2 linked regions of the Struthio camelus genome follow. The protein of the gene in region 2 interacts with the protein of the main gene of each other region in a pairwise test. Links are inferred from orthologs where the notes say so. Each region holds a gene or a part of one and is shown on either strand. Other genes may lie near its edges.

Region 1 (16,618 bases), on a different chromosome or scaffold from region 2:
TTATTATATTTTTGGATTGCATATTTTAAGCTAGGAAAGCGTAAAAAATATAACATATAATGTAATCAAAATATATTTGGCACTATCCTTGTGACCAAAGGCCAAAGTGAACCCAACCCATAAAAGATAGTCTAAAATTGCAGAATATAGCTAAACATTTCTAAGGTTCTAAATTCAACCAAAAATGAAAATAACTGACATAAAATAAGAAAGCAAGAACTCTAGATCAAACAGCACTCACTTCATTTTTAATTAGCTGGAGCCATTCATTAAGATAGTTAACAAGGGCAAATGCATCAGGGATATTGTCGCCTTCAGAGCAGAATTTCAGAAGAACTGCCATTTGGATTCCTTCTGAACAACTGCAATTAAAAAAGGCAGAGTCTTTTTTTTTTTTTTTAATTAACCCAGAACAATGATATTTATGAATTAAGCACAACAATCTGCATAAGGCTTACTAAAAACAAACAAACCAACCAACCCCCCACAACACCACCCAGCTTCACTTGGTTGTGTTTGCACGCTTCATGTTTTCTCAGTCTTGGGTTTGTTCTTGACTTTCTGCGCCAGGAATCCCAGACTTTGGAAGAGTTACTCAGTGCATTGCTTATGCACTTAGTTTGCATTTTTGTCCTCTTGTTGAGGCACTTACACAGACCCTTCGATACAAGGAACATCTTTCACTGTATTTCAAAAATTGGTTTTGCAGCCTGCATACCACTACTTTACTTATAAAATTCCCGCTTTAAGAAGTCAACAGTAGATTATGGAGAAGGAAAATTCAGGCAGGCAGAGTAGAAGACAGCTGATACTTAGAAGCTGAAGAAGTTCACTGATAATTATAGTTATTAATACAGGGAAAGAAAAAAAGAGGGACAAAAAAAAGTAAGTTAGAATCTAACTGGTCAGTGAAGGGAGGGCTAATACATTAGATAATCAAGCTTAACACATGGATTCTTAAATACACCTGATTTGACATAATTAAAAGGCTTTAATCTCAGATGGAACATTTTAAGTTTATCCCAATCTGAAAGCAAATGAAAAGGTGCAGTTTACCTCAAAAGGCCAGCGGAGAGGGGGAAGAAGAAGGAAATCCATGAGTTTGCAGTATTAGTAAATCAAAGCATGTGCCCATCAACCTAACTCATTCAACCAAAACCAATGCTTCTGAACATTTTTTGCCCAAATCTTTTTGAAAAATCAAAATATGACCTACACAATAACATTCTAATCATCAAATGAAGATACTTCAAATAAATGGAAGAAGTTACCAAAAAGAGGCAGAATAAAGAGATACTTGGGATGCAGCTCTAGACTTAAACAGCAGCAAATAAAAATGTGTGACACACCGTTTAAAAGCAAGTCTTCCACTTGAATGGATAAACATAAAGACAAGCAAAACAGAGCTTGGAAGTATTTCTAAGAGAGACGATGTTACAAAATCCACCTATGCCTCCTACCAGTGAATCAGTAGCTTAAAAAAACAATTTCACCTATGTACTAAAAACAAGACATATGTTTCTGTATGCAGCTCACTCACCACTCAGTAAACAATAGTTTTGTGATGCCACCTCCTGGTATATGTAGAACTTTCTCTGTATCACTTATTCCAGGGTAAGCTGCTACTTTTTCCATTTCTTTCCATTTTAACCCTTGCATAAGGCCTTCCACCGATTTCTCAAGAGCAGGTGTGAGTAGGTAGCGTAGAGGAGTTCTAGGAACAAATCAAGAATACGTTCAGTGTGAGAAAACAAGACAACATAGATGTTATTACTTGCGGTGGAAAGGAGCTGCATGCATCAAGTACTGTTCAACTTTCTGCCACACATATAACCAAATGATACATTTTGCAAAAATACACTTGAATCTGAAGCAAGTTAGATAAATTTCTTCCTTCAGAAATCACCACTGCATCAGAAGCATTAAAAAAGCTCAGCCATTATTTTTCCCCCTGAGTATTCAAGATACGTGCCAATTTGGGCATCTAAAAAGAGGGTATCAAATATACAAGCACTTAAATAGGAGAACTGTTATAGGCTTCTTAAAATGATTTACAAAAGAAATGGTGGCTATTCTTCCTTCCGATGGGAATTTATTCAATTAAAGTTAGTTAAAGTAAGCTTGGGCTTCACTTTGATATAATGTTTGTAATAAACTTAAACTACAAATATCTGCAGACTTCTGTTAAGTCTTTCAGTATTTCCTTAATGCATTACCTTCACTCATTAGTGTCTCTCTGGTATCAGACTTATTCAGAGTAAGTCACCACAACTGATGAACTCGGAATACATAAAGTAACCATCAGTCTCCCTCATTTCAGTCCATGTCTGCTGACCACTCTAGAAACTCTATGCAAAATCAATGGTAACTATATCTAGAACATGCATAGACCTAGACCTCCTCAGGGCTCTGAACATTTATACACCCTGGTGATAAGAGTTGTTCATTTTGAACAATACTTTTTTTTTTTTTTTTTTGGTAAGTCATAGATTATCAAGGCCTCGATCATCAAGCTATGCTTTTTCTTTTGTTTAACGGGTGGGGGGGGAGGCACACCTAATAAAACTCTGTGTAGTTTTTTCCTAGCAGGTAAGTATTGGTAACTGCCTATAAAAAGATACCTTACTAAAAAAAGAAAACCCAAAATGCAGAATAATTAAGAAGCGGTAAGAAATTCAAATATTCTAACTAAACGTTAAAAATCTAATCGGTGAGCTGTATGTTAGCAGCTAATCCCTGACAGCGCTTGCAGCAATAACAAACTAAGTTGTTAAAATCGAGGCTGATGGTGCAGGCCAAGCAGAAATTTACTTATGGCATATTATTTGCTCAGCATTGTCAGGAGACTAACAAAGCTCAGAGCCTAATGCTGTATAACACACTATTTTAATAATATATTAAGTATCTTATGATCTACCTACACAGTAAAGCAAAAGAACCCTGCCAAAAAGTACTAAGTATATATGCCAGTTTGCCAAAAATAACAGAAAAAACAATCAAATCATTTAAGGACACACACATACCCAAGAAGTTGCTCATCATCGCGCTGGTATGCATGGCTGCTAGACAGAAGAATAACTCTAGCACATTTGCTGGTTTGCACCCAAGAAAGCAGTGCTTGACAGAATGGCCTGTACTTGTTCTTTACGCAAAGAGAGAGGGGGGGGAGGAGAGACCAAAAAAAAAAAAAAAAATTCATGCCCTTAAGAAAAGCCACAAGTCTACAATACTAGATGTTATATTTAGTGTTCAGCAGTGAGGAAATTTTTTTTTCTTCATATCCATTCAGTCTTCAGATATATTTTTAAAAAGCAGAGGACACTGGTTGTTTACTTAATCAAAGATATATGTATAATTATAAAAATTATGAAAACCACATTAATAATAACTGTATCACTCATTCTGTGTGCCATTAATATCAACGGGAAAACCTTTAGAACAATATGGGATGATAAAATTCCACAGTATTTTCCCACAATTTAAACTGCCAAAAATACTACAACACAATTTACTCTCGTGTGGTGTTCTGCCCATTTTAAATCACAGCCACTATACAGTTAACAGTTAATTTTAACTGTTTATATATAATGAATAGAGAACAGCAGGAAATAAATGGGGGTGACAGCAAAAATTAAGCTATTTAAGAAAAGACAAATACACAAAAACAATAAATATGAAGAGAAAAATAAACAGGCGGGAAACAGACCATATTGTTTTGTCAAGACAGTTAATAACTAAGGACATATTTTCACTAAATTCTACTGAATTAGCTGAGCTGTTTCAGAGCTTGAAACAAACAAGCAAACAAACAAATCTCAACCATTAATGAATGTAGGAGACAGCTTTTGTTAGCTAAAATTTTATCAATTACGGAAGACGTTATATCACTAAGCAGAAAAACATTTTGCTTTTTTTTTAAAATGTATATTTTGCTGTTAAGACATTATTTCATAATAGGGAGCACGAATTTTTTCAGTTGTGCTTATTTTAAGATATTATAATAGAGTAAATTCTTCTAGACCATTTGAAAACTACTGGCCAGTAGAACAACTGAACTTGAACACTGAAGTGAGAACAATGAACATACGTACCTTTATAAAAGGTGATCTGATCTGCAGAACTACAAGTTTCCTTGAAGGTAATGAATACACTACAAGGAGAAAATAAAACAGTGCATAACAAAAAAAAAAAAAAAAAGGATCTGAGCTTAGAAGTATCCAGATTTATCCAATCCATAAATCTGAGGTAAACCTTTCAGCTCTCTTACCAAATTGTGAATTATTTCAGGCTTTTCAGTAATGTAAAAAAATACGTATTTTTGTGCATCATCTTCACTGAATCTAATTTCACTTGGCATAAAAACAAAGGATTGAATGAAGTAAAAATTTATTAAAAACAAAACAAAAACTATCTCCTGCAGTGACTCAGATAAACTCTTTATACAGCTTTGCAGAGATTACGACAGATTATCTCGAGATTTCCATGATTTAAAAGGAAAAAACAATATAATTTGAAATGCTATGATCAAGACACAGAAAGGAAGTGAAAACTTGAAGGTAGAAAAAAGAAAAAAAAAAACCCTCCACACTAGGAAAAGGCAAAGATAGGTGGGAAGGAAGAAGACAGGACGAATATCCTTTTATACTCTAATTTAGCTTGCATGCCATGCTTTACTGTAGGTATGGACACACTTTCCACATTATCTAGGATTAAAACTGCAGAGAGATTCAGCAGCACTGTAATATGGTTGAGATTCAACATTTCTTACCGGTTCCATGTTTCAAACTATTTATGCAAAATAACAAAAGTAAGTTTCCTCCACAAAGTGTAAATTTACATTCTTATCTGCGAGTCAGAGATTTGGTTACAAAAGTTATTATTGAACTTCATCTAAAAGGTAAGAAAAAAAAGGAGAAACATTCTTACAACTGCTTTCTACAGGCAAATATTTAAGATCTAGCTTGCATTCAATACATACCTTCAGCATTTATACTCAGCTCCGTTGAGTTTTCTTCTGCAGTTGCATATGGATTATTCCCAACCATTGGCACAAGGCAATCAGTGTAGAAGTAGCCAACTTTAGTCATGTCCAGTGTGGAAATCACGAGGTCTATTGCCAGTTGACCAACATTTCCCACTGACACTGCTGGCTGAAGTAACAGAAGTGTTTTAGCATTACAATAGTAAAGACATAATTCACTTAAAGAATTGCAGCGTGTTTTATGGACAATACAGCATGCTTTTGCAAACAGTGAAAACTTAAGTTAGCTGAATTCCGGTTAACCATATGATTTCTTAAAGTGGCACCATTTTCTTACAGAAGTTACTACTTGTTAACAGCTTACTAATATATAATGTGGTCCCTATGCCACAAATACATACTGGTTGCTTCTGTCAATAATCCTGTCTCATTATAAACTTAAAAAAAAAAAAAGGCTTGGAGACTGGTGTCCTCGTGTCCTCCCCAATCCCCCCTTTTTTGGCTACAGAGTAGATAAAAATCACTCCAAAATCTAATGCAGAGATTGGCAGCCCCAAAGTGACAGTGAATGGCAATGCCGATACTGCACGTTAAATCTATAAATACCAGATTGTCCTAAAAACACAAGTAAATTAGCATATGTTATCACCAATCAAAGCTGATGCTGACCCAATCTGAGAGCATACAAGGAAAAATTCAGTTTGCGAGTTTGTGTCCTTCTACAGAAGCTGAAAATGGAAGACAACTGTAAAATTTTCAGTTGCCTCCCACTCATTTATAAGCAAGCCCGTGCCTATGAACTGCTGCTGCCCAAGGGCCAGCAATCCTGGAAACACAAGGAATTTGATGCCGATAACCTCAGAGCGAAAAAGGATGTAACAGCAGTTACAGACCGTCATTACAAATTGCCTGGTGCTCAACAGCTTGTTATTCCTAGACAAAGAAAATAGCAATGACCTATTTCCTGTTCCCAGTCAGCTGATCTGGAATGACTTCCTGTATAAAATCTTGTACCTCATGTAAATATGCACAGTCATCAGGGGCGATCTGGCCCTGATGAAAGGCGATAAGGTTACCCTTAGATGATAAAGTAAAGGCACTTACTAATAGGAAAAATAACGGCTTGCTACTTCACAGCCTGTACTAGAATTCGTACCCTACAATACACAAAGTAACCTCTAGCAGTTTAATCTTACATCGATTTCACGTTACAAATTATTAAAGTATTTTCTAAACCAATTCCAAGCTCAGCTTAAATATAGCACAGCTAAGGAATCTGCCACTGAAGACTAGTGTACATAGCCTCTCTCCCCCCTTCCCCCCAGGCCGTTGAGAAGTTTCCGGGGCCGACCTCCGGACAGGGGAGAGGAAAGCGTCCCCGGCCTGCCGCCCCCAAAGCGGGAGCGAGCCGCGCGGACAAGCCCCCGTCCGCGCCCGCCAAAGCCTCCGACGCTGTTTCAGGCCCCAGCTGTAGGAAGCCCCCCCCCCGCCCCGAGAGCCACGGCCTCGAGCAGCAGCACGTCCCTCACCCCCGCCCCGGAGCGCTCCATTCTGGCAGCACCTCCCCACGGCCGCCTCGGCGAGAGGAGGGGAGCAGCAAGGCCACTTACCACGAGCAGAGTGAAGCCGTCAAAGTCCGAGCTGGCGGAGGGGCCGCCGCTGCCATGGTCACACGGAACAAACATGCCGGCAGGAAGAGAAAAGAGCCGCCCCCCTCCTCCTACCTCAGGCTCCCCCCCTCCCCCGGTGAGGCGAGTGGGCGAGCACGGCCGCCAACGCAACGGCCGTAACCGCCGCCGCCCTCGCTGCTCCGCCCGCGAGGGGGCGGGGCCGGGCCCGCCGCGGCGGCCGTTAGAAAGGCGGTTGGGGGCGGGGCTTAGCCCGCGGCGCGCAGGCCGGCGGCCTGGTCTTCCACCCCCCGCCCCTTTGCCGGAGTGCGGGGCGTCGCGGCTCGTCCCGCCGCCATGTCGCTACCGCCGGAGAAGGCCTCGGAGCTGAAGCAGCTCATCCACCAGCAGCTGGTCAAGGTGAGGGCGGTAACAAGGTGGAGAGGCCCCCGGGCACTGGGGCCCGTCCTGAGCGCGGAGCGACTTCGTCTACTCGGAGAAATCCCCGGTGCGTCGGTGATAGGGACCCCCCGGCCCTTGGAGGCAGCGATGCCCGCCCAGGCGGGGGAGGCGCCTCCAGCTCCGTGTCCGCTCCCTCGCCCATCCCTTTTGTTCCCCCCCCCCCCGTACTTCAGCAGGTTCATGTACTTCCCGAGGTGCTGTTTTGCCATGTTGGCGCTTGCGGCCCCCCCCCTCCCCCCAAGAGGGCCTGCGAGGATCAGCGCTCTGGTCTAACGGCCGCCTTGGCCTCCGGCCTTTCCCCGCCCTCTCCTGCCGTCCTCGCTCTTTCCCTTCGTTTCCCCTTTTCTGGGCGATGGAGCTGGCATCGCCCCCCCCCCCCCGGTGCTGGCGCTCCCGCTGTCGGGGCTGCCCCGTGGAGGGCCGGCGGAGGGGAGCGGCGTTTTCGGCCCTGTGAGAGGAGGCGGCGGGGGGAGGGGGGGAGCCACGGCGGCCGGAGGCACCGGGAGGCCGTCTGTTTGCTCGCCGCTTGTTGAGCGAGAAACTAGGGCGGGGTTTTGAAAACAGTGGGAGAGAAATATCAGTGCTTTAGCTCGCATCGCGGAAGTATCGCAGTGTCTCAGTGGCTATAGCCTTGCATCGTTCCTGTGGGAGAAACAACTTTAGGAATACATGCTGTTTCACAGCTGAGCCATCGAAGTACAGAAATTCTGGCTTTATGATCATAGAAAAAGCTTGCGATGGAGGCTCCCTATTTGTATGCCTTACCTGCAACAATCTAAAGTTTTTTTTTTCCTTTCTGTAAAAAGTAAGAGGAGGAAAAGGAGGAATTGAAGATATTGTTCCAGGGGAACACACAGATTTTATTGCTTCTCCGCTCATGGGTTTCCATTTAGATTCATCTTGCAGGTCAAACACGCAGACCTCCACAGCATCAGAGGGCTGACAGTTTCCAAAGAACTTTTGATGGTTGAAGACACATCCTATGGTGCGATAAGGATACAGTGGCTTGGGCTGTTCAGCTAGTGGAGGCTCATCAGGGCTGATAGGACGGTGGATGTACCTGATCAAAAACATTCAGTTTATTTCCCATACACACATTGCCATAAGTTTGAATTTTGAGGGAGAAGAGAAATTAAAAGCATGGAAGTTTTATAATCAATGGATTTGCAGGGCTGTTGGTGAGAAGGGATGTTCGAGGCTGGGGATGCTGTCACAAGCAGTGGAAATGCTCAGGTTTGGAATGCTCTTAACTGGTGCAGTTGCTTTGGTGAGATAGTGTGACTTGCTGCGGTACTTCTCACTAAACAATAAAAAGTTGTTTGGTACACATTTATGTGCAGAAAGAGGTATTCTTTTGGTGCAGTTATCTCTGTATTCCTAGGAGAATACCCGTTACCTTACAGAGAAACGTTTTAGTGCTAACTGTGACCATATAAGGAGCTTCATTTCTTTTATTCTTATTATCATACTTAAGCCTCAATCAAGGAGGAAAATGAAAATAAGTTTGAAGAGACCAGTCTTGCATTCTGCTGTGATACAGCTGAGTGCGAATTTAAATACTGTGGGGGTTATTAAGAAGTATTATTTACAAAGCTTATGAGAGTTTGAACATGTATTTCTAGCATATGATGAATTTTCTGTTCAGATGGATGTTCATGGCAAGATCAGAGAAGTTCTTGCTGAGACTATACGTGAAGAGTTTGCACCTGAGCATCAACAGTTATCCACGGAAGACCTGATAAAAGCCTTAAGACAGCGAGGAATCATTGATGATGTTATTAAAGAGCTTAAATTTGTAACTGTAAGTAGCTTTTGAAACATGAATGTATTTTGGTTATTCCTATTATCGACTTGATGTTATGACAGCTCTTTTACTATAAAGTGCAGACTCAATTACTTCTAAGTGCTTATATTAGCTTTACTGAGTTGTAAGTACTGAGTTGGTTTAGTGTTAATATTACACTGAAAGTACTTGTTCAGTTCCCTTACATCTTAAATCCTACAAGGCAATATATTTGAGAAACAACAGTCAGTAGAAAGAGAGAATTCTTTTAATTTTTAAGAGACAACAGGAATAGCACTGTTGCCTCACTTGATTCTTTAAGAAGTCTAATTGCAATTCCAGGAAGTGAATGACAAGGAGAGGACTTCAGCTCCAAAGCCATCTACGCATTTTGTTGACAGAGAACCACCAGTTCTGAAAAAAGGTATGTTGCTTGTTTATTTTAATGTTTGGATTATAGTTTTAAAATAAATTAAGTGCAGGTTTATTGAGCTCTTTGAATTAATATTACAGAGCGAATTGGATTCATTTAAAGTTTCCATATTGTGCAGAAATAGATGTTTTTCTTACTTGTCTAGATGCAAGTGGGTTCATATAAACAGCAGAAGTTAGTTGCACATAAAATAGCATTTATTGTATATTATCTTCCATAAGTTTTAAAATTGCTTTCCCCTAAGCACTTGTTTTGAAAGAGTTTTTTTTTTTTTCTATTCTCCACTTAGATAACAGATATTTTAAACATACTTCCTAAGATCTGTTTGTAGTTTCTTCATATTTATTGCTACGCTTTACAGCTAATATTAACCCAACACGGAGGTATCTTTACCTTCAGGTTTTGGGCGGAAAAGCTTTTCTGGAACATCTTCAGGAACCGGAGCCTTTGCCTGGCCAAATCTGTTCTACCTTCACTCTGTGTTTGCATTTTCGGAATCAGCGCTTCCGTTCTAAACCTGTCCCCTGTGCCTGTGAGCCAGATTTTCATGATGGTTTTTTACTTGAAGTACACAAGGATAGCCTGGGTAAGGAAGACTGTGAGTTTGCAGTGGATGCCGTTTTTTATTCTAACATTACAGTTATTCTAAAATGTGCTTGATATTATTTAATGTTTTTTGCCTGTTTTTATAATGTATTCCTAAGAAAAACAATTGCTGTATCAGGTTCCGCTACTTCTAGATCTAGAACTGATTCTTACCTATTATTTTCCTTCTTTTCCACTCCAAAGTAACTTTTAACCGACTTTATCCAGATGTAACAGTGAGATAGTAGTGCCAAAGATGGTAGATTCATGTTTTCCTGAACCTTGTGCTGAGAAGTGAAGAAAGGAGACCTTTTTTTTATCGTATGGAGGGAAAAGCTTCTGCGTGAGTTTAGTCTGCCTGCTAGTTGGCAAACACCTGCAGAACAGTCAGTTATCCACAGCCTATACTGTCTTTGTCCTGTTATTAGCTGGGGAACATAGTAGGGAGCTATGTGTGTTTTAAAAAACGGTTTCTGGAATAAACAGGGGAATCTTAAGGTACTGGGATAAAGGAAGAGGAGGCTGATACTGTCTGAATCCTGTAGAAATTCAGGGTAGGTCATGGAGTGTCAGAGGACAGAAAGAAGGCTAGAGTTATAGCAGGCCTCTGTGTGAGAGAGAGTGAATATACTGCGAATTCGGAGAAGACCAGGCTTTGTTAATTCTGCTGCTCATGGAACAGTTTATCTCGTAGGGTCAGAGCTTAACTACAGAGGAAGCTGCTTCCTAAATATGGATGCATAGTAAGTTGACCTGAAGTGTTACCACTTATTAAAATAATAACGCACGCATCTGCAGTTGCTTTTACTTATTAGTACATAAAAATAACTTTCTTATTTTTTAATAATATTTCAATTTTAATTTTTGTACAATTAAATGAGTTACCCTGGAGTAGGCAAATATAGAAATCTGTTTATTGCCTCTGTCAATTAATCAGTTGTAATCTTTCTGTAGCTCTGTCCTAATCTTATTTTGGTTTAAGGTGGGATTGTTGTTGCTTACACTTTTCTTAAAAGGTAATGTATGCAAGGAATGTAAATGCATATGCTTTAATTTTAAGGCGGTATTGGGATGGTAACATTCTGGCTGTCTGTGTTTAATGATGGCAGGTGATGGAAGTAAAATGGTGGATGCAACCACTATGTTATCAATATCGGATCCAGTGCATATGGTTCTGATCAAAACAGACACATTTGGTGAGACTACACTAGTAGCATCCTATTTCTTGGAGTGGCGATCTGTCTTGGCTGCAGAGAACGGTGTAACAAATGTTGCAGTTGAACTCCTTGGTGTAGGTAAGAATACACAATAAGGGTAAAATGCAAACACTTAAAATATTGGCTATTGAGCTTGCTTATAAGGTCAAAGCAGTATGCAGTTTAATTATGGTTAGACTCATGAATTGATATAAGGTATCTTTAGAAAACATTTATATAGGAGACCAATGGTCAGATTTTTCACTGTTATCAAGATACTAAAAGTGTGTATTCTAGACCCTCTGTCATAGTGGTCCCCTTGTCAGATGGGAACTCTCCACTATGTGTTTTTTGCAAAATCTGCATAAGTTATCAAAGCTTCCTGCCTCTTCCCCGCATTCAACTGATTAATATCCATGAAAATCTCAGGCTAGTGTACTGAAGAGTAAAATCTAGTGTGTCCCTTTCACAGCAAAGTAGCAGCTGGTAGATGAAGTTTTCTCTGCTGTGCTGCCATTTGTTCTGGTTGCTGGAAACACGTTTCTGCTAGAATGGAGGACCAGCTTTGTTTAAGTGCTTCACAGTCAGTATACATGTGTATTTTTATGTATTGCTTCTGCATATGGCCCTTTAGGAGTTTCCAGGATATTATGATTTAGTAGATAAAGACTAGATACAGGGCTAAATCTATTATGACTTCCTACTCTAGCTCTCCCAGAGGCTTGGCAAGTAGTAGTTGATGAGCCATTTGAGCGTTCTTTATCACAGTTTCTCGACCTGTTAGGCAAGCAGTCCTTTCTAATTTCATAAGATATTATATCTGCAAAGTATTTTGAAAATTTGATTTACTATGTAAGTTATTCCTAAATTTTATCTCTATTACCTGCTTTTTGGGGGATGGTTTAGTGCAGTGTTTATCCACTGGACACAAATCTAGTAACCTTATTTACTAATATTTTTTTTATCAGCATTAGTTACTTTTGGATATGCTGACTGTTGACAAAGCGTACTAAGTAATACGGCTTTGGGTAGGCTTTCAAGTAGAGAGGTTTTCGTCTATAATTATTTGGAAATGCATACAAAATAATTTGAGCATGATACTTGGGGGAGAAGGGGAAGTTAAGTCTAATTACTGTTAATTCTTCTGAATAATGAAGAAACAATATCTAAATCCAGTGCTTTTTCTCTTCCGAAGTCTTGTCATTGTACAAAATACGTCAATAATATGGAAAGATACTGTCATCTCAGATAGACAAACTCCTATATGAGGCTTCTGTTACTCGTATTACTTATAATCCCATCTCTCTGATTTTTTTTTTCTTCTTACTGTTTATCTAATTCTAAATGTTGAGCTTTATGCAGCAATAGTGTTTTTGTTTTTTTGACTAATGTATTATTATAGCGTACTGGGTCCTTCATAATACAATGTATCTCAGGGAAGATTAACTTAACTCAGTTTTAACTGCCTACGTCTGATCTACCTGTGTGGTCAGTAGAAACAGGCACTTTTTCAGTGTGATTCACCTGATCTATTTTAGGTACCTATTCTAGGCACATCTAGAACGCTACTCATCATATATCCTGGTGTTGGCTGTAAATGGAACTTGGATAATTGTCTAAGATGTAGATACCTCTCTTTTCAGTCTGATTACCCTTTCTTTCAGTGTCATTTGGCTCATTCTAGTGTGACATTTAAATAAAGATACTTATTTTGCATATGTTGAAAGGCATTATTTTTTGTACTTCTTGTTCCTGTATGGCTGGAATGTTGTAAGTAAAAAGATTTTGAAAAGACTAATCAAAATGTATTTTGATTCTAAGGTACAGAATCAAAGGTTTCTGTCGGTGTTTTAAACATCAGGCTTGAAATGTATCCACAGCTAAATAAGATGCTGTCTCCAGAAATCACTAATACTCAAGTAAGTGATTTCTGGGTGGGCTGACTTTTTTGTTTTGTTTTATATGGGCAGGGGGAGAGGGAAAAACTCAGTATAGAATTACTCACGTAGATGTTAATGCCGGTGAGGTTTTTGAATGTCTCGTATTAATTGTTTTTAATTTGATTACATTATAATTACATTTTCTTAAACTATTTTTATATACTGATCATTATGTGAAATATTACTGTAGCAGTTTTCAAATTACCTTTATCAAAACCTTAAGAAGAAAAATAAGAAAGATGCAATGCGCTTCAACTGCACTGCAATTTTCTGCAGATAGTAGCTGTGTTTCCTTGCTCTCTCCCTCATCTGAAAAATCATTTAAACAGTCAGTTTTCCTGCTTGTAAAGCCAGTAAATGTTGGCCTGCAGGTAAATGCAGGTTTTCTTCCACACTTCACAAGCCGAGCAATCCTGTGCAGAAACGTGTTGCTAAAGAGGAACACCGTTTCAGTCAGGCTTGATATATGAGCTTACATGAGCCTTCTAATAAGAAACATAACTTGAGGTTTTCATTCCTTGAATTCTAGTTTGAAAATACAATTCTTCATTTGTATGGCATGTTTTAAATATTAAAGCTTTATTTCACCTCTGCCAGGATTTGATGTTAATATATTTATTAATTTCTGATTTTTGTCTTTGGAGTTAATATATGTGGGATTGTTTTGTTTTTGTTTTCTTACCTGCAGTTTTCTTTGGAACGTCAGAAAACAGCAGAAAAAGAACGATTATTTCTTGTATATGCTAAACAGTGGTGGAGAGAATACCTACAGATTAGGCCTACGCACAACATAAGGCTAGTAAAGATTTTTGCACAGGTTTGTAAATTCTACTAATAGAGCAATCTGTTCTTATCTTATTTTGTAGATATCTTATATTTTGTACATCTATTTTGAAGTTTCTATGTGTGTAGAATGTGTATAGATTTATGATGTGGTTACAGTCAGGTCAGGGCTACAGCTGGTGTAGCATGCAAAGAATGAAGTTTCTGAGGATTGAACTTTTACATATTATCGAAGCTTAACGATACAGAAATAAGGGCTACGTTACAACCCCCAGTGTACAAATTAAAGTTGGTTTAGTCTTTCCTTTCAGTTCTCACAAATGACAAAGACTCAAGTGGTTTATACAAACTATTTCAAACAGGTTTTATACCAGCTGAAACAGTTATAAAAAGTAGACATGCTACATGATCCACTCAGTATTTGAGATCTGTGTGGCCTGTAAAGTAATTTGGCCAGTTAGAATTGCAGGCTAGCTGTAGACATATGAACAAATTATACTAAGGGAATAAGTTACTGTGTGTCAGTTGCTCCTTGGTAACTGTCCCTTAGTAAAAGAAATGGTGTAATACTTTGCATTTACTGTGCTATGAATTAACATGAATAGGAGCAGTTTTCCTAGAGTGGATGGTGTGCGGTAGCTTGCTATCTCAAAGTCACTTCCTGAAGCAATTGGTACCTACTGATTCTTTTCAGTGAAATAACTACTGTTCTGGCTGTGCAGTGAGTGTTCAGTAGTGAGGTGAGCTTCCAAATTAGGGTTAAAGTTTTCAAAGCAGGGTATGTAGGGAAGCAAAACCTGTGATTGGATTGGGAATTGTGGAACTGGAAATTTGGTTGGGGACATGGGGTAAAAATGAGACTTGTGGCATTTTGAAATCACTCGACAATAATCTTATTCAATCTCTGTAAAGCTTTATAATGGTAGACTAAATGCCAGTGGAAATAGAGAAATGAGATTATCAGAATTGTAAGAGAAGTTCAATTATCACATCATCATCCACTTTTGTATGCATAGTACGGAAGCATGCGTTACAGATATGAGACTATATTGGAAAACACATGGAGTCCTGACTGTGATCTCTACTTGCTTTCTGCCTGTGAATTCATTTCCTACAGGATTCCAGTCAGCTTCCAGTAGCTGCTGCTTTTCTTATACCAACCTGCTGGAAAAACATGACAAAACCTTAACGTGGGCAGTATGTGACCACAGTAGCTGATAACTTTTGAGTATAAAAATATCAGACCATGATTTCCTGAAGCTGCAGAAATATAACAAGCTTTGATGCCTTTTTAAATACAGGAATATAAAAGTACCATTTGGCACAGTGAGGAAAGGTACTGCTTAAAACAGTTTTAATAGTTGATAATCATAGTATTTCCCTGCAACACATGGTAGAGCAGACTTTTTTCCAGTCTTATTTCTCATTTTTTCCAAGAAATCAGAAATTCTTAGAATTATTCATCTCTCCATTCTCAGTTTGTGTAAATCTGTGGACTTCATTGTGATTAAATTTCATTGCTTCTTGGTGTTATGAGAGGAGGTAGTGTTCAAATTCAGAAGCAAATCACTACCTTTTAAACTCGATTTTTTTTTTTTTCCCCGACTTGATGACATGTGGAAATTGACTGTGGATGGAGCATGAACAGTTCCTCACTCATTTAAGGAAATGGACTTCAGCCTGTAGTGCTCCTACTGTTTGAACTCTTAGTCTGGAGCGTTTGAACTCTTAGTCTGGAGGTAGAGCCAGTGGGAAAAAAATCTAACTTCAGTGTCTCTCTTAAAGAATTATTGTGCCTTAATTCTAGGAGAATTTTTATGTCTTAATAATCTTGAGTGCTATTTATTTTGGGGATAGTAGATCTCAGTGCAAGAAAGAGTCTGACATAAGATGAATTTTTTGTGGTATTTGTATGGCTGACAAGTAACCATATTTTATGCTCAGGATGAAAATGGGATAAACCGTCCAGTATGTTCATATATCCGACCACTTCGAGCAGGCCGGTTACTAGACACACCTAGACAAGCATCACGATTTGTCAGTGTCCTGGGTTATGAAAGAGCTCCTGTCATTGGAGGAGGTGGTGGCAAACAAGAACAGTGGTGCACCCTTCTTGCTTTTCTGTGTAGAAACAAGGTACATGAAATAGTCTTTGTATGAGATAATATAGCTGGATATTGTAATTGAAGTTAGTAATACGTTACAGGCTGCAAATCTATGGATTAAATCCGTTTCATAGCATTGTCAGTTACAAATAATAGCCTATTGAGAATCTTTTTAAAGAGGACTGTAGTAGACAAGAAGGATTTAGAGTGGACTTTCGCATTTGTTTTACTACTATTGTTAGTGTCTATTTATCAGTATATCTGTCTCTGACAATAAGCTTGCTTTTCTTCATTTGCTTTTCTAAGGTCTCATCCATGAATCCCTGCTAGCATGCAGGCCACAACTTTAAATTCTGGAGTAATCCAGGAAGAGTTGGAAAAGTCTCTTTTGAAAAATAGTCGTTTTGTGGATGTGCTAAAATATGCTGTCAGTAAATCTTAATATTCAATTTTTGCAATATAGGGATTTCCACTGAAAAATTCATCCTAGTTGTTAGTATCAGACATTCGTATCATATGACTATAGTAAATGGAACATAAATTGTAGCTCATTGTGGATTATATCGCTTCTGTTGTATGAATAAAGCAGTATTTATTCCTTTTAATCACTCTTTGGGGTGATCATTCCTTTTAATCACCACTGAAATACTTCTGCTTTCAAAAATATTTCCGCTTATATTAAAAAGATCTATTCTTTTTGGCAGTAGAGGCTGTATCCCAATTTTTAGACCTCCTCAAAGACT
Region 2 (16,263 bases):
ATCAGTCGCACGGTGAAACCTACATCACTCATAGCATACAGAAAGGACTATATGTGCCTCAAGTATGGTGCTCAGATGAAAATAACACTTACTAGGCATTTTGGCATTTTAATTTCTCATTGACTAAATATGTTTCAAACAGCCAATACACAATACACTTCATGAAGATATCCTGCAGAATTTGCTAGTTCTTATGTCCAATATTTAAGGGATAAAAGGAATTTTTTGTCTGTGTTTTTAAATATGTTCGTATTTTACAAGGCAATATATAAGATGTCAAACTGTTAGGAACTAACTTCTGAAAGCTAACTTGCTAGCTAACTCATATAATTAAGTAAATACTCTAATTCTAACGGGATGCTCTTCAAAACATATTTTCTATTGTGAGCAGCAGTAGTCAGCAACATGGTAAATAAGTGAAATTGCAGAATACCAGCAGCAGGAAGATCTCGCACAATGTTAGGTTGTTCCAGCAGCGGGCAGCAGACTGGTTCTTTGAATTCTTTTGTCTTTAAGGCTTTCAGAAAAGGAGATGGAAGTGTTAAGGTGGATTCCTGAGTTTTATAATCAGCTACAGGACATGTTGAAAGAATGGTTACTTGCAAGCCTTCCTTTCTCATACAGCCAAAAACCTGAAACAAAAATGGAGTTCCAACATAAATAAAGTTTATCCTATCACAATAATAGCATAAAAACACATAAAAAGATCAAATTTGAATTTAGGTGCAGACGGCAAAGGGCAGCTTAACTGAAGTTTGCATGACTGACTACAATTGAGTCACAAACTTCAGACAGAAGTTTCACGTGCATTGCATCTGGGATAGAAAGAGAAAGACGACCTCAAGAACAGCTAACACATTTACCAAGTCTTCTGATTCTCGTGAGAGGCTTTTGGTTTTCGGCACTTTCAACTCACCTGCAAATATATTAAAACTTACTATTTTCCGTAATGCTGAAAGTGAGAAGAAAAAGCACTCCATATGAAAAAAGGCCACTTATAACAGGAAGGCAGCTTGCTAAGCTGCAGACATTTTAAACTCATATTTGCTTGTATTGCTCTCCAGACGTCCTACAGAACATTTAAGAAGATTCTTCATTTTAACTACTCAGATTTTTCATTTGATTATATTCGCCTTGAATTGAGAATTGAAAAAGAGAAGCTTAATTTTTCAGTTTTTCTTGAATTCAAAGAGAAGAGTTTCAAAAACTCTGTCAAAACATGGTTTTGGATCCATTGCATACCATCACGGAACATTCAGATGCTGCACAGCCTTCCATTGTTTTTAAAGAACGTCAGTCAAAATGAGCAGGATTATGACAAACATGCATCTTCCTTTGCACAATCCTCTTCAGATTTGTGATCAAAAAGTAAACACAGAATTTGATAAACACTACAGAAACCCACCTGTTTCTGTATATTGTACCAATCACAGAAGAAGAGCTGACTACTCCCTCACACCAGTATGTTATCACTATAACGTAAAACTGACATAACTCTTCAGAAGCACGCATTTTCAAGTTACAGTACATTTACTTTGTTGGAAAAACTGGTTGGGCTGCACTTTGCTTGCAAAATTTTAGCCTGTGTGTTTTCATTTTCTCAGTACCCACCTAGTAAGAAGACAAACGTAGATGTGAAAATCCAACTGAAGACTCTGGTAACACTCAGTAAATTAGAATTTACAAAGTAGGCAGAACAGGTCTGTAACTCACACTCAAAGCAAGATTACCAGCTCAACATCTTTGCCGTACGTTTAAAAATATCAAGAACCATAAAGGCAAAAAATACACAGCAATATTAACCTGGCAAAACTGTACGCTCCTACTACCACTCAGAAACGCACACAATTGAAATAATATATACACACAAATAGCTGGAAAAACAGGAATGCGGACGATGACAGCAGAGCCACCATTAATCTTTCTGTTGTAATCCCAGTTTATATAAAGCACAAGGACATGTGGAATATAGCAAAAACAAAATGCTTAAGGTCATCTTAAGTTTCTAAACTACAAAGTGAACTCCCAGTCCTCACCCTGCAACAAACTGAATTAACTCTTCAACAAGCAAAGGCTACTTTTCCACAAACAAAGGTGTCTCAAGACCCTATATTGCCCAGTCAAGTTACCCCAGCACTTTGTCCTCTCTGCCTTCCCATAATCTTTCTGGTTCCCTCACGCTGTGACCCTGTACGGTTGTCCCTTGCATCCAAGCAGTCCTTCTGATGTGCTGGCTCAGCCAGATGGCAGGTTAGACTGAGCAGATGCCATTTGGTTCAGGCAAAAGAGCTGCTCTCAGTGAATGCACTGCTTTGCATCTCACTCCTCCATCTAGCCACAGATTTATACAACTTCAGCATAACTTAATAGATTTAGCATCTCTGCTTGTTCATCAGATCAGTAAAGAATTAAAGGAAGGAAGGTTGGCAAACCAAGAGCAAAACAGAATAAATAACACTTCTTTGAGGCTAAACAGAATAAAGAAAACCTATAGCCAGATTATCCCCTTGGTTTTATCTTACTAAAATCTACATTAAGAAATTTGGAAAGACGTAAAGACCTAGCAGCATCCATGCACTTGAATGATGCAAGGGCAGCCTATACAGCAAACCGATTATACAAACAAACTGGACAGACAGTGCTTTAGGGGCCACCTTCGTTTAGAATTCCACCTTGCGAAAGAAACTGAGCACGCCTGTCAGTAAAAATACCATCCATCATGAGTTTCAAGACAGGTTTGTTTGGGAATCCTTTGGCAGCTGTACAAATGGAATTATGTTATTATTTTTTAAGGAAGCATTCTCCCAGGATTGAAACGTAGTTGAAGAAAGCCAAAGAGAATTTAAGCCCAACAAGAAAAAGGGCTAGAAAGTAGAAAGTATAACAAAAATAAGACTCTCCAATCAAAATTGTGCAACTGCTCCAATAGTTGCCCAAAGTTGGTGAGTTACAGGAGATATAACCAGCAGGATCTAGAAAAGAATTTCACAACGTTTGCAGACAGGGTATTTGTTCGTTTGTTTAGTACTTGAGAAGAGAAAGCCCCAGTGAAAACAATTATTTACAGGACCATTTGTTGTCATATCAATTTTACCTTTTCAAGCCACTGGAACTGTTGATCCTCGGCAACATAGCAACTGCACTGGCACAGTAAAACCTGAAAAAAAGAACAAAAAAGATGTGTAAAGAAGTGGTTTAAAGAGCACAATGATAATAGCTCTTAATCACGTGTCAAGATGATGTGATTGCAGCCAACAACTTGCTCAATATTCTTGGATTTGTTCCACCCTATTTCAACAATTTTTGATTCACAGCTGGTGTGAAGCAGTCAGCCCTGTCATACACCTTCTTTACATCAAACTTCATATGCCAGAACTCCAGGCAGTCTTACTGAGTAAATTTGAAAGAAATATGACCCCTCCAATTTTTGATGGGATTAACCCAAAACACTGCAACCTTAATGATTTGTGGCGGGGGAGATCGCTCTTTCTTCACAAAGTTAACACACAGATGAATTCGTGCATAAGTCACTTACTGTCGGGTCTGATATTAACCGATAGAACAAACAAAAAGAATCTGTCGGGAGGACGTTTGTTGTGTTGGATGTTCGACACCATTCGTTCCACAATTTCATAGCTCCAACTACTTCCCAGCATACGGAATCCAGAATAAAAGACGACAGGAAAGCTGCAAAGAACGCGACCGTTAATTTATACAGAAATAAAACATCTGTTCTTCAAATAAATACCTGAACCAAATTAGCTTGTTTTTCTGCAAATTCTTCCTCAAGTTGAGGAGATGTAATAATTACCTATTTTTTTACTGAGCAAATCCAGCAAAAAATCAAGAACGTGAATAACCTCACAGCCCTGAGACTTAGAAGAACAATACCAAAGATACATAAAGATCTCTACCATCAAAAACATGATTAGGAATTATATTGCTAGAGTCAACTTTGATGCATTCAGCATACACTAAGAACAAATGCTACTAAACATTAAACCTCTAATACTTCTTGACATAGCAAATTCAACAGATTTCTCCAAAAAAGAATCACTGAGTCAACAAGACAAACCTATTCTACCGGCTTTAGAAAACAAGGACAACAGAATGCAAGACTTGGTAGTAAAAGAGGCCTTAAGCCAAATGATTATAAATCAAAAGAGTTTCAGTGAAACAGAAAATGGATTTAAAATGTATCTGTAGTTATTTTTCAAGAAAACCCATCAAAGGAAAAAAATTAGTTAACTAGAATAAGGACTTCAGGGAGATTTAAACGTAGAGAAGACTTAGAACTTCGTTCTGTATGCTGTGAAAGAGCTATTCAGAAACTCAAGACCTAGGTAAGCGGGTGTGGGAAGGGGAGAGAGAGTCTTAAGACTCCAGGTCTAAGAGGTAAATAAACACCTCAAAAGAGTGCTTTACGAACACGCGAAGAATAAAACTGTGAGAAAAGAGACTGAGGGGGGGAAAATAAGTAAAGTTACTGTTCATTAGATGTTAAAGAAAAAAAAGAGAAGAAATTAAAGTCAGAAATCTCTGTATTCAAGACTCTGTCAAGAATATTAAACTAAAATGTCATTTACTACAGAGTAAAATGGGCTGAGAACAAAGACATTTCCAAAACGGGGACAGCAAAACCTCCGAGACCTTCCTGTACTCAAATAGGAAGAGTTAAATAATACTGTTCCTGTTACTTCATTCAGCAGTTTTTCTAAAATTCTGGGATGTGAAGTAAGGACTTAAACCAACATATTTTGTTTAGTTAGTATAGAGCAATCTGAGAACAGCAGATGTAATACTGTTCAGGCATCTCCAGGCTATTTCACACATACACAGTATTTCAGATGAAACTCTGAAGTATAAACAGAAGTGTTATAGCTTACTGAGCCATAATTTTACATCCTTGATAGATCCCTGTTTCAAAACACTAGAACACACAGAGCAAGCTGCTATTTTCAGAAGCAAATTTCTGCAAAGTAACATGTAGCCCAGGAGAGTCCACCAAACACAAGTCATCCAGAGGAAAATGGCGACTGCCCCAATTAAAATCTAAAGACTTTTGCCGTGATCAGAAAGGATCTGACAAAAATAAGCAGCTGTAAAAGAATCGTGCTGTGTACGTACATACTGTCGACTAACCTTGGATTTCTCTCAACAGATCTTCTCAACAGCCTCAGGCTTAAAACCCTGCCACCTAAATGAAAAACTGGACATACCTACGGATAATTGTCGCTACAGAAAGCGGTGTTAAATCACACCACAGCAAAGGGAGTTCGTAGTGTCCTGACACACTTACCAGACCTCCTTCCAACCTCCCACTTTTCCAGTATTAGGCAACAGTAGAAGAGCAAGGCTATGTAAGAGTCGCCGCTGCTGCTTTTCAGTTTGCAACGCTTACCTGCAGCACTATGCCCTACTGCTACTATAAACCTCGAGCACGAAACTGGCTCTTCTGCAGCCCTTTCCGTCGACGCTCCCGATTTCAAGGTCCAGAGGACGTCGACCTCCCTACCAAAAGAAACGGAGACAACCGGAGCCCGAGTTGGCTACGGCGCAGCCAAAAAGCTTCGCCGCCGCCACCGGAGGCTGAAGGTGTCCCCCCCTTACCCGGGACAGCCAGCTCCTCGGCCGGCCCCTGCGGCCCCGGCGGGCGCACTCTCACCCCAGGCGCCGGGCCGGGCCGCAGACCCTCGCCCCCCTCCCACCCCCACGCGGGCCTCCTTCGGCGGGGGGGGGCACCGCATTACCATGGCAACGCAGGGAACGGCGGGCTCCGCGGCGCTCTGAGCCCCCCCCGACCCCGACGGTACCTTTTCTTCTCCAGCTCCCTGCGGATCTCCCGGTCCTCCAGCGTCTCCTCCGCCGACTCCTCGTCGTCCACGCCGGCGCGGGAGGGCGCCACCACCACCTCCCCGAAGAACGTCGCCATCGTTCCCCTCTTCCCCCCCGCCCCCGCCGTTCAGTCAGTACCGAACGCCAGTCATGCCCCGGCCGGCCGGGCAGTGCGCACGCGCGCACCGCCCAGCCACTCTCGCTCGCCCGCACCATGGAGTTCCGCCCCCCGCTTGCTGCCGCTCTGGCCCTGCAGACCATAGAGCGAGGCCGAGGAGACCTCCCACGGGCGGCCGCTGGGAAGGCGTTACCCCAGTCACGCGCCGGCGGCTGAGCCGCCCGGGCCGGTTGGCGGCGGCACGAGACGGCCCCGCGGGGAGGCCCGTGCGGCGGCGGCGGCTAGCTCCGAGCACGCGTTGGGGGGGAAGGGGGGGGGAAGGCCGAAAGCCCCCGCCCTGCCCCGCCGCCACCTGGGCCTCTGGCACGGCCTCACCGGGTCCCCGCGGCTGGGGTCTGCCTTCACCGCCGCAGATCGTGGAGCCCCCCCGCCCCCCTTACCTGGTTAGGATAGAGGAGGAGGGGAAGGGAAAGGAGAGCACCACTGCGGGTTTCCAGCGTGATTTACGTGCGTTTCTCTCTTAGCAGGCAGAAGGCAGTATCTGATCTAAAGTAGTATCTACCTTATTAAAAGCTGAGCAGCCGAGAGAAGAACTAGACAGTTAATGGCTGAGGGCCCCCGAGAGCTGAAGGCCTGCGTCACTTACAAGCTGCACCGTAGCCATGACAGCAGCATGTTTACTTTAGGTAGCCCACTCCCACCCCCCCAGCTGCATTAGTAACAACGGAGCAGATGGTTCCTTCAAAGGCAGGGAGGTAATACAGCACCTGTTTTGGGTTCCTTACGGCATACAGAGACAGAAAAAACCGATACAGCAAGATTAAACATACCAAAGGTTTGCAAATAACAATACAGTGAAATTACAGTTGTATGTATAGCTTTACTTTGGTCCACTTCTACACGTACATCATAATGAAAGTCTTAGTAGTACTTAAAGAATTTGATTCTCCTATGCTTTTGTCCTGCATCTTTAGTATTTTCCTCTGTTCGTGCTGCTTGTTAGCCTATTCATTATCTCAGATTCAAGTCCTGCTTAAAAAAAAAAAAAAACAGCTTAGAAAGGCATTACATCAAGCAGCTTTAAATAAAGGTCTACTAAATCACTTTATTTCCCTGAGTGCAGCTAGACCAGACAAAGAGTGCTGAATGATTAAGTTTCCAGGAAGATGAAAGAACTGCTTCTGCAAGGCTTAAAAGTAGTAACCTGTGACAACAGTTAAGTACACTTGCTTAAAAAAAAAAAAAAAAAAAAAAAAGGGCTCACAAACTCCGAGAGGGTTAAAAAAAGAGTTCAAGTATTCATCTTCCTATTGGTTCTCTGCAACCTGTCCATATAAATAAAATCATAAAGTACAAAACAGCATTTACTTTGCTTGTAACATAAAATTTTATGGTCCATAAGCTATTAATTCCCTCTCAGATATGTGAGTACGGGGGCCAGAACCTGTGCTCAGCTTTCTAGGATCATCATGAACGTATAAGAGCAAAAATGCAGTATGATAGAAAATACAACACCTGGAAAAGGAAGAGAAAGAAAAGAATCTTTTTAAATCTAAGCCTGAATTAGAAATACAAACCTACCAGCCCAATTTCAGCTGTTTAAACTTCAGATTAATAAAAATTCTGAAGCTCACTTACAAGCTATTATACTCATTTTTTTGCCCCTACATTGGCAGTCAGACTTCATAGAACACTGATCATAAGTAGCTGCTAAACAATTCATTCCATTTATGGATTAATTTGCTTATTCTCTTTTAACAAAGATGCTCCTCATAAGGTAAGGTACACAAAGCCACTTCAAAGAGCCAAATTTCAGTACTAAACACAAATGTGTCCCTATTGAGAAACCACCTTAAAATATTCAGATAAACAGGTACTTTGAATTTACAAAGTTAAACTAATAAAGACTACTTCTAATTAAAAAAGCAAGCTCCTAGGGCAAAAATGGTACAAACTAGGTTATCACTGGACTTCATACAGAAGTCTCGAGGAAGGGGCGGGGGGGGGGGAACAGGCTTTTCTCTATATTGAGATACCAATCAGATACCAAAATGATGTGATGGCTGATGCACATTTTGGCACACGATATGAGCAAACTTGTTGGAGAAGTGGTTTTCACTAACTGCTGTTAGGCAGTGGTTGGGACTCCATTTTCTGTTACTTCACTTCCATTCACATAAGCTGATACAATGAGAGCTTGATTATGCAGCTATACTGCTTACAGTTTTTCAAGACTTTTCCCCATCCAGATATTAGTACCTGTCCCATCTGCTGGAAAACTAACTCACAAACTTGCTATTTCAGTTAAAATAAGTTGGGTTGTGACAAATATATGAGCACATATCCGTCCTCTTGAACTAAGATCAAGAATCACATAAATCAACCATTTGAGAAACTGACCCAGAAGAGCGGAGGCAGGAAGCTATGGTGGAGAGTGGGAAAGCAGCAGAAATCGCCAAGAAACTAGTGCTGTGCAGTAACCTTACAGCTTCAGCAAGCACAGCTCCATGAGTACATGTCATCAAGGGAGGAAACAGCTACAGCTGTGGCAGCAAGTTTCCTACTGGCCAAGGGGAGGCCAGAAGCTGCTCCTTGACCAGTTAGTTCTCTAGTAAACTAAGCACACCTCAGGAAGAGTTGGATAAGAGTAGAGAATCAAATTAGGTGTTGTGCATTCCTCTTATCTGATACCTGGCCATCCAAGAATTTATACATTTTAACAGAAGAAATATTTTCCTATCTTCTGAGAAAAATTATTTGTTGTCAACAACAGCTGTCTTACGCGTTCCAAAAATAGGTAGATAGGGTACTACAATAATCAGAAACCGATAAGGTTTAATCAGTGCAGCAAAGTAATACTAAAGCACTTGAAGTTTAAATATGGAAGAACAATGGAAAAATAGCAAAAAAGGTACGGAATGTAAGAATGAACCTCAATCATTTCACGCAGAAAAAAAACAGAACAAGTGTTTTGTTTGTTTTTCTGTTTTATAAAGAAAACACACAAAAACCCTTAGGCCCAAGAGTTCACCTGCATTTCATATTCTTAAATTTACAGTATAGAAGTCACATTAATGATGATGTAGTACTACCTGTCAGCATAAACCCTCTCTTTACCAGCACCATGATGCCTTTTTAATCGGCAAATATGCTTTTCACTGGTAACTGGTTCTAGTTGTACGTTTTCAATATTGGAAGTACAGAACATTTACCATCTGTACTAATACAAGCTGTAATGTTATTAACCTAGTGACCATTCATTGCTCTTCTGATGCAATATTAGCATCCACCAGATTTTTATAGTGTACAGTATTATTTATAAGCCTGTTACTATTGTATAAGATTTCATACAGCATTAGAGATGTTTGAAATCTGTTCTTGAATGTGTTAATGTTGTATGACCTAGGTAGTATTCCATTGCAGCACCCATAACAATAATACTCAACATACTGCTATTAACCTGTTGCGCAGTGTTTTAACATTTTTAACTCTTGTTATACGTAATAAAATACCAGTAAAGACAAAAAATTGCCCCTATAATGAGGCACATTTTGGCATCTGTGCTAAATGCTGCTACATGGGCAGGCAAGTGCAAGTCAAAATATGAAAAGGAGAAAGTCATGATCTAATCACATTCATAACTTTTTCATAGAAAAATATAAATATATTCCCTGAAATGTAGGACAAAGAAGAGCCAGCATCCATCACGAGTTCTAGTGCTATTACCATAAAAAAAAAAAAGTGTGCTGGCTTTTCTTTTTAAGGTTACGTTTCACAATCTACATCATCTAAACCTCTATCATCGTCGTCGTCACAATCGTCGTATCTCACAGTCCGTTTACCCCCATTTCGAGTTCTTATCTTAGAACGCCGATTAGCTCTTCTGTATTTGGTGTAATCCAAATCTTCAGAGTCATTTTCTTGATTAAGTTTACAACATTTCCTTCGCTGGGGTCTTCTGGAAGGCTTAGGCAAATTGGAGTTTGAGATTTCTTTTCTAATGACTTCTGCTTTTCTTTTCCTCTTTTTTGTTTCTGTGGCATCACTAGAGTTATTGTTGTCAGTTCCAGAGTCTGAATCAGAAGAACAATTGAAATAGGCTTTTGAACTTCCTGCGGTCCCAGGTGTTTCCACGTTCTCCGATACCGAGCTTTTTTCATCTTTCCTCCCCCCTGTTTCAGATTCTGCTGTTTCTTTTAAATCATTCAATAATTTTGCTCTTTTGAAAGAAGTTCTAGACTTTTTATTTGATACCTCTCTGATATTTTTAGTTTCACGTTTGGCTAACTTAGAATCTGCCTCATCTTCAGAGCTGCTCACTCTACAGTTGTTGTGGGCTGAAGTTGACCGACTAGAAGTTTTCCAATTTCTCCCATTTTCCACACTGTGGTTTCTGGAATTCTCCTCTGAAAAGTTGTATGTGGCATTTTTAAGAGAGGCAGCACGGACTGTTTTGTGTGGCTGCTTGTGGTTATCATCACTCTGCTTTTGAGTCATTTTTATCTCTGCCTCAGAATCTGTTTTTTCATTTTCAGATTCACTGATGTATTTTCTTTTAAAAGCAGAATTAGAGGAAGAAAGTTTTTTTCTGCCAGCAAACTGTTCTTTCTCACTTTCAGACTTTAAACTAACATCTATCTCGGAGCTGCTGATCAGTTTTTTCCTGGATGCTGCTGATCCATTGCCATGAAGCTGCCTTCTGTTCTTTTTTCCTGTGCAAACGCTTTCTGAGCTTGATAGTTCTTCCTTTGTATCACTCATTATCTTAATCTTATTAGCTGCCAAAGTAGCACATCTGCGTGGATTTTTCTTCTCCGTCACATTAGACAGCTTTATATGTTTTTTGTAGTTAATTATACATGTCCTGCTCCTGAGCACTTTTCCACTTTGTCCAGTCTCCTCAGAAGCCGATTCTATAAAATAAAGATTTGAAAGTTAAAAGGCTTACATTTCTGGAAAAGTTAGTTTACTAAGCACAAACACAACTGCCTTTAATAAAATACACAAATGCTTTTTTCAACTCTAATTGTTATGTGCAATTTACATTAAACCTTTATTAAAAACATTCAGAATCAGTCCAAGGAACACTTTTAACTCTCAGCATTACTCCGTAGCATTACGCCTTTGCTTTGAGGTAATCAAAAGGGTTGGAAAGTAACGTCCTTTACCATAACACTACTTGTAGCTTCCAGGTAACAAATTACCTAACTTAGCAAACAAACACTTCAACATTATGAATACTTCCACTGTTAAAGCTGTCATTTTCTTCCTAAAACGTCCTTTAAAAATGAACTATCACACATTTCAGACTCTTCATTCTGAAAACTGCACAGTAACATTTTATGCAGACACAAGCATTGGACGGATTTCACTATTTCAGAGTTGTTTCATATACATAGAGAACATTTAAACTACTCAGTTCCTCAGTGACCTAAACAGTAAGACTGCTTCTAACACTGGACTCAGTATTTTTAAGACAGCACTTGCTTCTTATGTTGGGTTTTAAATAAATATTCAGTTTGTAAATAATATGAATGATGTTGCCAAAACAAATGATTTAAACCTTCACCTTCTAATAGATCTTGCTCAAACTAAAAGTTCTTGAAGTAGATTTATCAGCATAAAATTGATAAAAAACAAATAGCATTTTGCTATTTTAGCAGAAATGTCATTTGCAAACTTAGTTTTCCCAAGTTTGATGTCTATCACATCTTTCTTTGGAACAGTTACTGATTTTATGGACAAGCACTCGCTCTGTGAAAGCGTCCACTAATATAATCAAAACATTAGTCTATCAACTCCGCATAATAGAATAAGCATTCAATTTTATTCCAAATCAAACTCATCAGCTTTAATGATTCTCAACCTACACTCAGAAAGCACAGGAAAAAATAATGGCAGTGGCTATACGTTACTTTGCAGAAAGGTAGGCAGCTAAATATGTTTTAAACTAAAAGTTTAGGGACCGTACCATACAACTGAGATGAGGTTTTCAGAGAAAACGCTCTTTCTCACCTTCTTTTACAGACAGATAAAGAAAACTACTCTGCTGATTTTGTTTAAACTTTTTGAACTGCTATCGAACTGCAAGGCCAAACGTCTGTTGAGAACGATGACTATGACCACCCAGACATTAGAACACCAGCCTAAGGTTTAAAACCATAGTTTGGTTCCTTACTCCTCTGGTCAACTTATCGCGCTAGCATTGGCGAGTCATTTGATCTCTTTTTGTGCCCTGATTCCCCCCACCTGTGAAATAAGGATAGGGTAATATTTTCCCTAAGTTCTGACAAGAATAAATACAGTAAAGATGTATTATAAAAGACAGTGGACAATTAAGTTGAAGAAAGTAACAGAACACAAATTCAAAATGTCCAGTTTGAGCATCAACATTAAAAATCTCTTCAGACACCAAACCTAGACAACATCATTTTCAAGGTAGACTTCATGTACTAACTCAGTATACCTATTCTGGTATTTCCAGAGGTTAATTTAGTCCGTACACTGTCTTTTCTAATAGTTTCCAGAAATTATACACTTTTCCTGCTATTTGTACTATGTCACTTTATTGGGAGAACCTCTTCCGCTGAATACTGTGTATTCAGTACTATAAAAGGCCAGCTTAACTTAAATACTGTCTTCCAATACTATTAAGCAAACATTTAAGCAACATAGGGCTGCTGCTTGTAACAGTTATTATGGGGCAAGCCTGAGCAGACAGGAACTTAAGAGATTTAAAGTGCTAAATTATATCTTAAACAGGAAAATACTGGAAATACATACAACAACATGCTGCAGCCTCCTAGTCACGGCAAACAACAACACACAAGTTACTGGTACAAAGAGACATTTTGTCCAGTTAACAAGTGTAGAAATGCATAACCCAGCTTTAGGATTAAGATTCCTCTACAACTTTTCGAGCTACACTCGCATTCTAGAAGGGCAATTAGGAAAGGTTGAAAGGACTGCCCAGCCTTAATACTGAGTGCTAACCAAATCACGTCTGGCCACCTGAAGAAATACACGTTTCAAGTGGTAATCCCTTAAGTTTTAAACTATTCCAAGGAAAATCAACAAAAAAGAAAGAATGCCCACAAGCTTTTCGTCAGTTGAGATGGGTGTTTAGGTACTTGCATCTAAAGGTGCATACTTTTAAAGAAAAAAGCTTGACCATCACAACAGATTATGCATATTTTCTGAATTAGCTGCTGAAACTCTGAGGACAGAATGCAAGGCTGAAGGATAAAAGCAGCATGACAGTCCACTGAAGACAGAAGTCCAGTCTTCCTGCAACACTGCCGTTGGGTTAAATCTATGCTTTACATACAAAGTCTTAAACTAGGCACAAATACGTGTAAAGCTGATCTTAATTTTTAATTCAAGCTTCTTACCAGAATTAAAATCAACTCCAGAATAACTTAGTGAACATCCCCACACACAATAAGAACACCAAAATTTGCATCTGCTTAATGAAACTACGCAATACCAAACTCTAAACCTGCAAGTCCAGACCGCAAGAGAGGGTACGAACATCCAGCCATCTCTCCAAGTCAGCTAATCAGCAGGTTATATCACAGCCCACAAAGTGTTTCTCACACCCAGTTTACCAACTATTCAATTTATGTGGAAACTATTTTGTTTTTTTAAACAAAAGCACAAGTATACTCCAGCAGTACCTAAAGATAACTTTTAGGAGAGCTAATTTGCTTAGCTTCGTATTTACAGAAATCGTCAGCTTCTTCAGAAAAGAACAATTCATACATCAGTTTGGCAAACCACAGTAAATCAGGTTGCGATAACAATGCACCTGTCACATCAATCGTCTGCTGAGGAATAAAATGAGCTATAGAAGGCACCTGCTAATTTAAAAATTGTTATTGGATTACCTGCAATAATATTCCTAATTAGATAAAGGTTAGGTAAATTAAAACTGAAAATAAATACTTTGTATTTTAGTGTAAATATTTTCCAAAATTAGCTACAGTTCCTGTAACAGCCAACTAATTTTTCAGTAGAACACTGTGGGGAACGGCTCACAAAAAGGCAGGTAAATTATAACTGCCTGAGAGCTATTTGCCTATAAATAACAACGTACAGGACAATGATGTACTCCCCTTTCTCATGAAAGAAGGTCTCAAATTTGGCCCCATGTCTTCAGCTCCACTGCTTCCGAATATACTGGAAATATGATGATAATTTTTTTTTTTTTTTTTTTTAAAGTAAACAGTCTACAGAAGCCTCATCTTTGCAGATGACTCTGCTTAGCCTACAATGAGACCGAAACAATACAAGTATTCATTACTACACTTTATCCTTACCAACTTTTAAAGAGCATATTCATGACCTTTCAGAAATTTAGGAATACTCACTCTTCGCCTATACTTACCATAGCTTTAACACTTTCCTTGAGATGGGCCCCCTTAATTTGATTTAAAGCATTTTAAAAGATCATCAATTTAAACTGTTAAAAATACACACAAAAACACAACTGACATTCTGCCATATTTGCACCTCAACATTTGGGATGTTACACATGGCAGGGGAGGTTAATCACTTCCAGATAAAGTAAGATCATTCCATAAGAAATTAACTACTTTAAAGTAAAAAGGTGAGTATGAATGCAAAGAAAAAATACTGTTTATGCACTGATTCTCATTAAAATCTTTGGTAATTTTATGGTCATTAAACAGATGCTGCCCTTGACAACGCAACTTATAATGCACACTGATGCTTGCCAATGTTTGGCGCCAATTGCAAATTAAAAAAAGCTGAATTTGCTTTTATGAGTGGCAGCTTTACCTAGTAGATGAACATTGATTACTAAAGAAGGTATGTTCAAAATAAAATTAAATTCATTTTAACCCGAGAATTAAGCATTTTTTCCTATTTTCTTTTTTTGGTTAAGAGACAAAATGTGAGTAAGAGGAGTTTTGCTCTAAGTTAGAACTGGAAGACAAATTAACACTTTGCACTCAAGGACATAAAAGGTGCAGTACAGTAAAAGCTTAAATTTAATGAGAGTGATAAAGAACGGGTAAGAAAAGAGAAATCAGGTTTTTACTCTAATGTATGACAGGGTTCAACTCCAATCAAAGTTATGCGAGCCAAAAAATTTAATTCTCTGTGTTTAGCATTAAAAACAAACAAACTCCTAGAGCTTGAATCCTTTTTTTTCTCCTTGAATTCTCATGCCTTTTTGACGGCTCTTTGTGGCCTACTCAATTCCAATAAACCCACATGTTAAAGCCATGCAATGTGCGCAGCTTTGTTTGAGGAAGGTGGGAAAGACTAGTCTTTGCACCATAATAAAAAAACAAAAGCTATGTAATGAAGTCTAGAGGATAAGAAATGCTGTATATAAGTGTATGTAACAGCTCACATATTGCAATCCCATACGATATGTTCCATTCCCTTTTTAGGATAACTATAACTCATAAGAACCCCAAGTCTGAAGAAAAAGCCTTACCCACTGTAAAGCATACTGACAACTTACAATTAAAATACAGAACAAGCTAATAATCCAACTGCATCTGTTGCCAGTTATGGGTATTCCTTCAAGTCACGTCTTTTAAGAGCAGGTAAGATAGTTCAAAACTTTGTGAAAAGACAGCCATAGTTAAAATATTTCAATGAGTTTTTTTCAGGTAATCTGTCTCCGCGATTCAAATGACAGGTTTGGAAGGAGGAGACTGGGGGGGGGGGGGGGGGGATGCTTGCAAGACAAGCATCGAAATGCCATTAACGCAGAAGAGAAATGCTTCTTTACCTTGAAAAGGATACTACATATCACTGACAGAATAAAATCCAAAATCAAATCAAGTTACAGGTTTCAGTGCACAGCATGGAAGTAAAAATCTTTAATACATCTTTCAAACACCACAAATAAAGCTACTTCAATTGAAAATAATGGCTCTGTGTCTCAGTCTGCTTTAGCACCAACGTTACTGATTGAAAAAGAAGATAAACTATTACTTTACCCACAAACTCAAGCTAACAGAACTACAACCCAGAAGTTTTCATTACTGAAATTCTGATCAAGGAGCAAGACTTCCTGGTATCTTGAACTGCCTATCTTAGGACTCATTCACAGCACACTCTAGAGTTTTGCTCAACATCATGCCAACAACCTGGAAGTCTGTTTCTCTAGCTTTTTAACTGTCACTACACAGAGTAGCATTACCTCAAAGGAAGCATTTCAGTATCAGTTGCTATAAACTGCTACAAAGATAAGCAAGTGCAAATTCAAATAAGAACAATCATGACTTGACGACAATTATTTCTGTAAAAAAATAAATACGTTACCTGAATTG

The links.
Region 1: the proteins of PSMG1 (region 2) and PSMG2 interact in binary tests that used the Homo sapiens proteins (3 or more experiments, as listed by UniProt). The link is inferred for Struthio camelus from reciprocal best matches to the Homo sapiens genes PSMG1 and PSMG2.

What each region holds. Positions count from the first base shown.
Region 1 is NC_090943.1:113,580,942-113,597,559, forward strand, and holds the start of PSMG2 (proteasome assembly chaperone 2), read right to left. Parts: upstream 6,835-16,618; 5' UTR 6,667-6,834; coding exon 6,592-6,666; intron 5,151-6,591; coding exon 4,979-5,150; intron 4,151-4,978; coding exon 4,092-4,150; intron 3,143-4,091; coding exon 3,024-3,142; intron 1,715-3,023; coding exon 1,541-1,714; intron 363-1,540; coding exon 242-362; intron 1-241. Other genes in the region: CEP76 (centrosomal protein of 76 kDa), read left to right, coding at 6,946-7,008, 8,696-8,851, 9,176-9,257, 9,628-9,852, 10,961-11,146, 12,869-12,966, 13,676-13,804, 15,715-15,906. UniProt on the Homo sapiens protein: Chaperone protein which promotes assembly of the 20S proteasome as part of a heterodimer with PSMG1.
Region 2 is NC_090942.1:123,299,553-123,315,815, forward strand, and holds the start of PSMG1 (proteasome assembly chaperone 1), read right to left. Parts: upstream 6,627-16,263; 5' UTR 6,394-6,626; intron 6,370-6,393; exon of another isoform or gene 5,942-6,369; 5' UTR 5,933-5,941; coding exon 5,814-5,932; intron 5,512-5,813; coding exon 5,402-5,511; intron 3,688-5,401; coding exon 3,536-3,687; intron 3,158-3,535; coding exon 3,095-3,157; intron 633-3,094; coding exon 434-632; intron 1-433. Other genes in the region: BRWD1 (bromodomain and WD repeat-containing protein 1), read right to left, coding at 9,719-10,866. UniProt on the Homo sapiens protein: Chaperone protein which promotes assembly of the 20S proteasome as part of a heterodimer with PSMG2.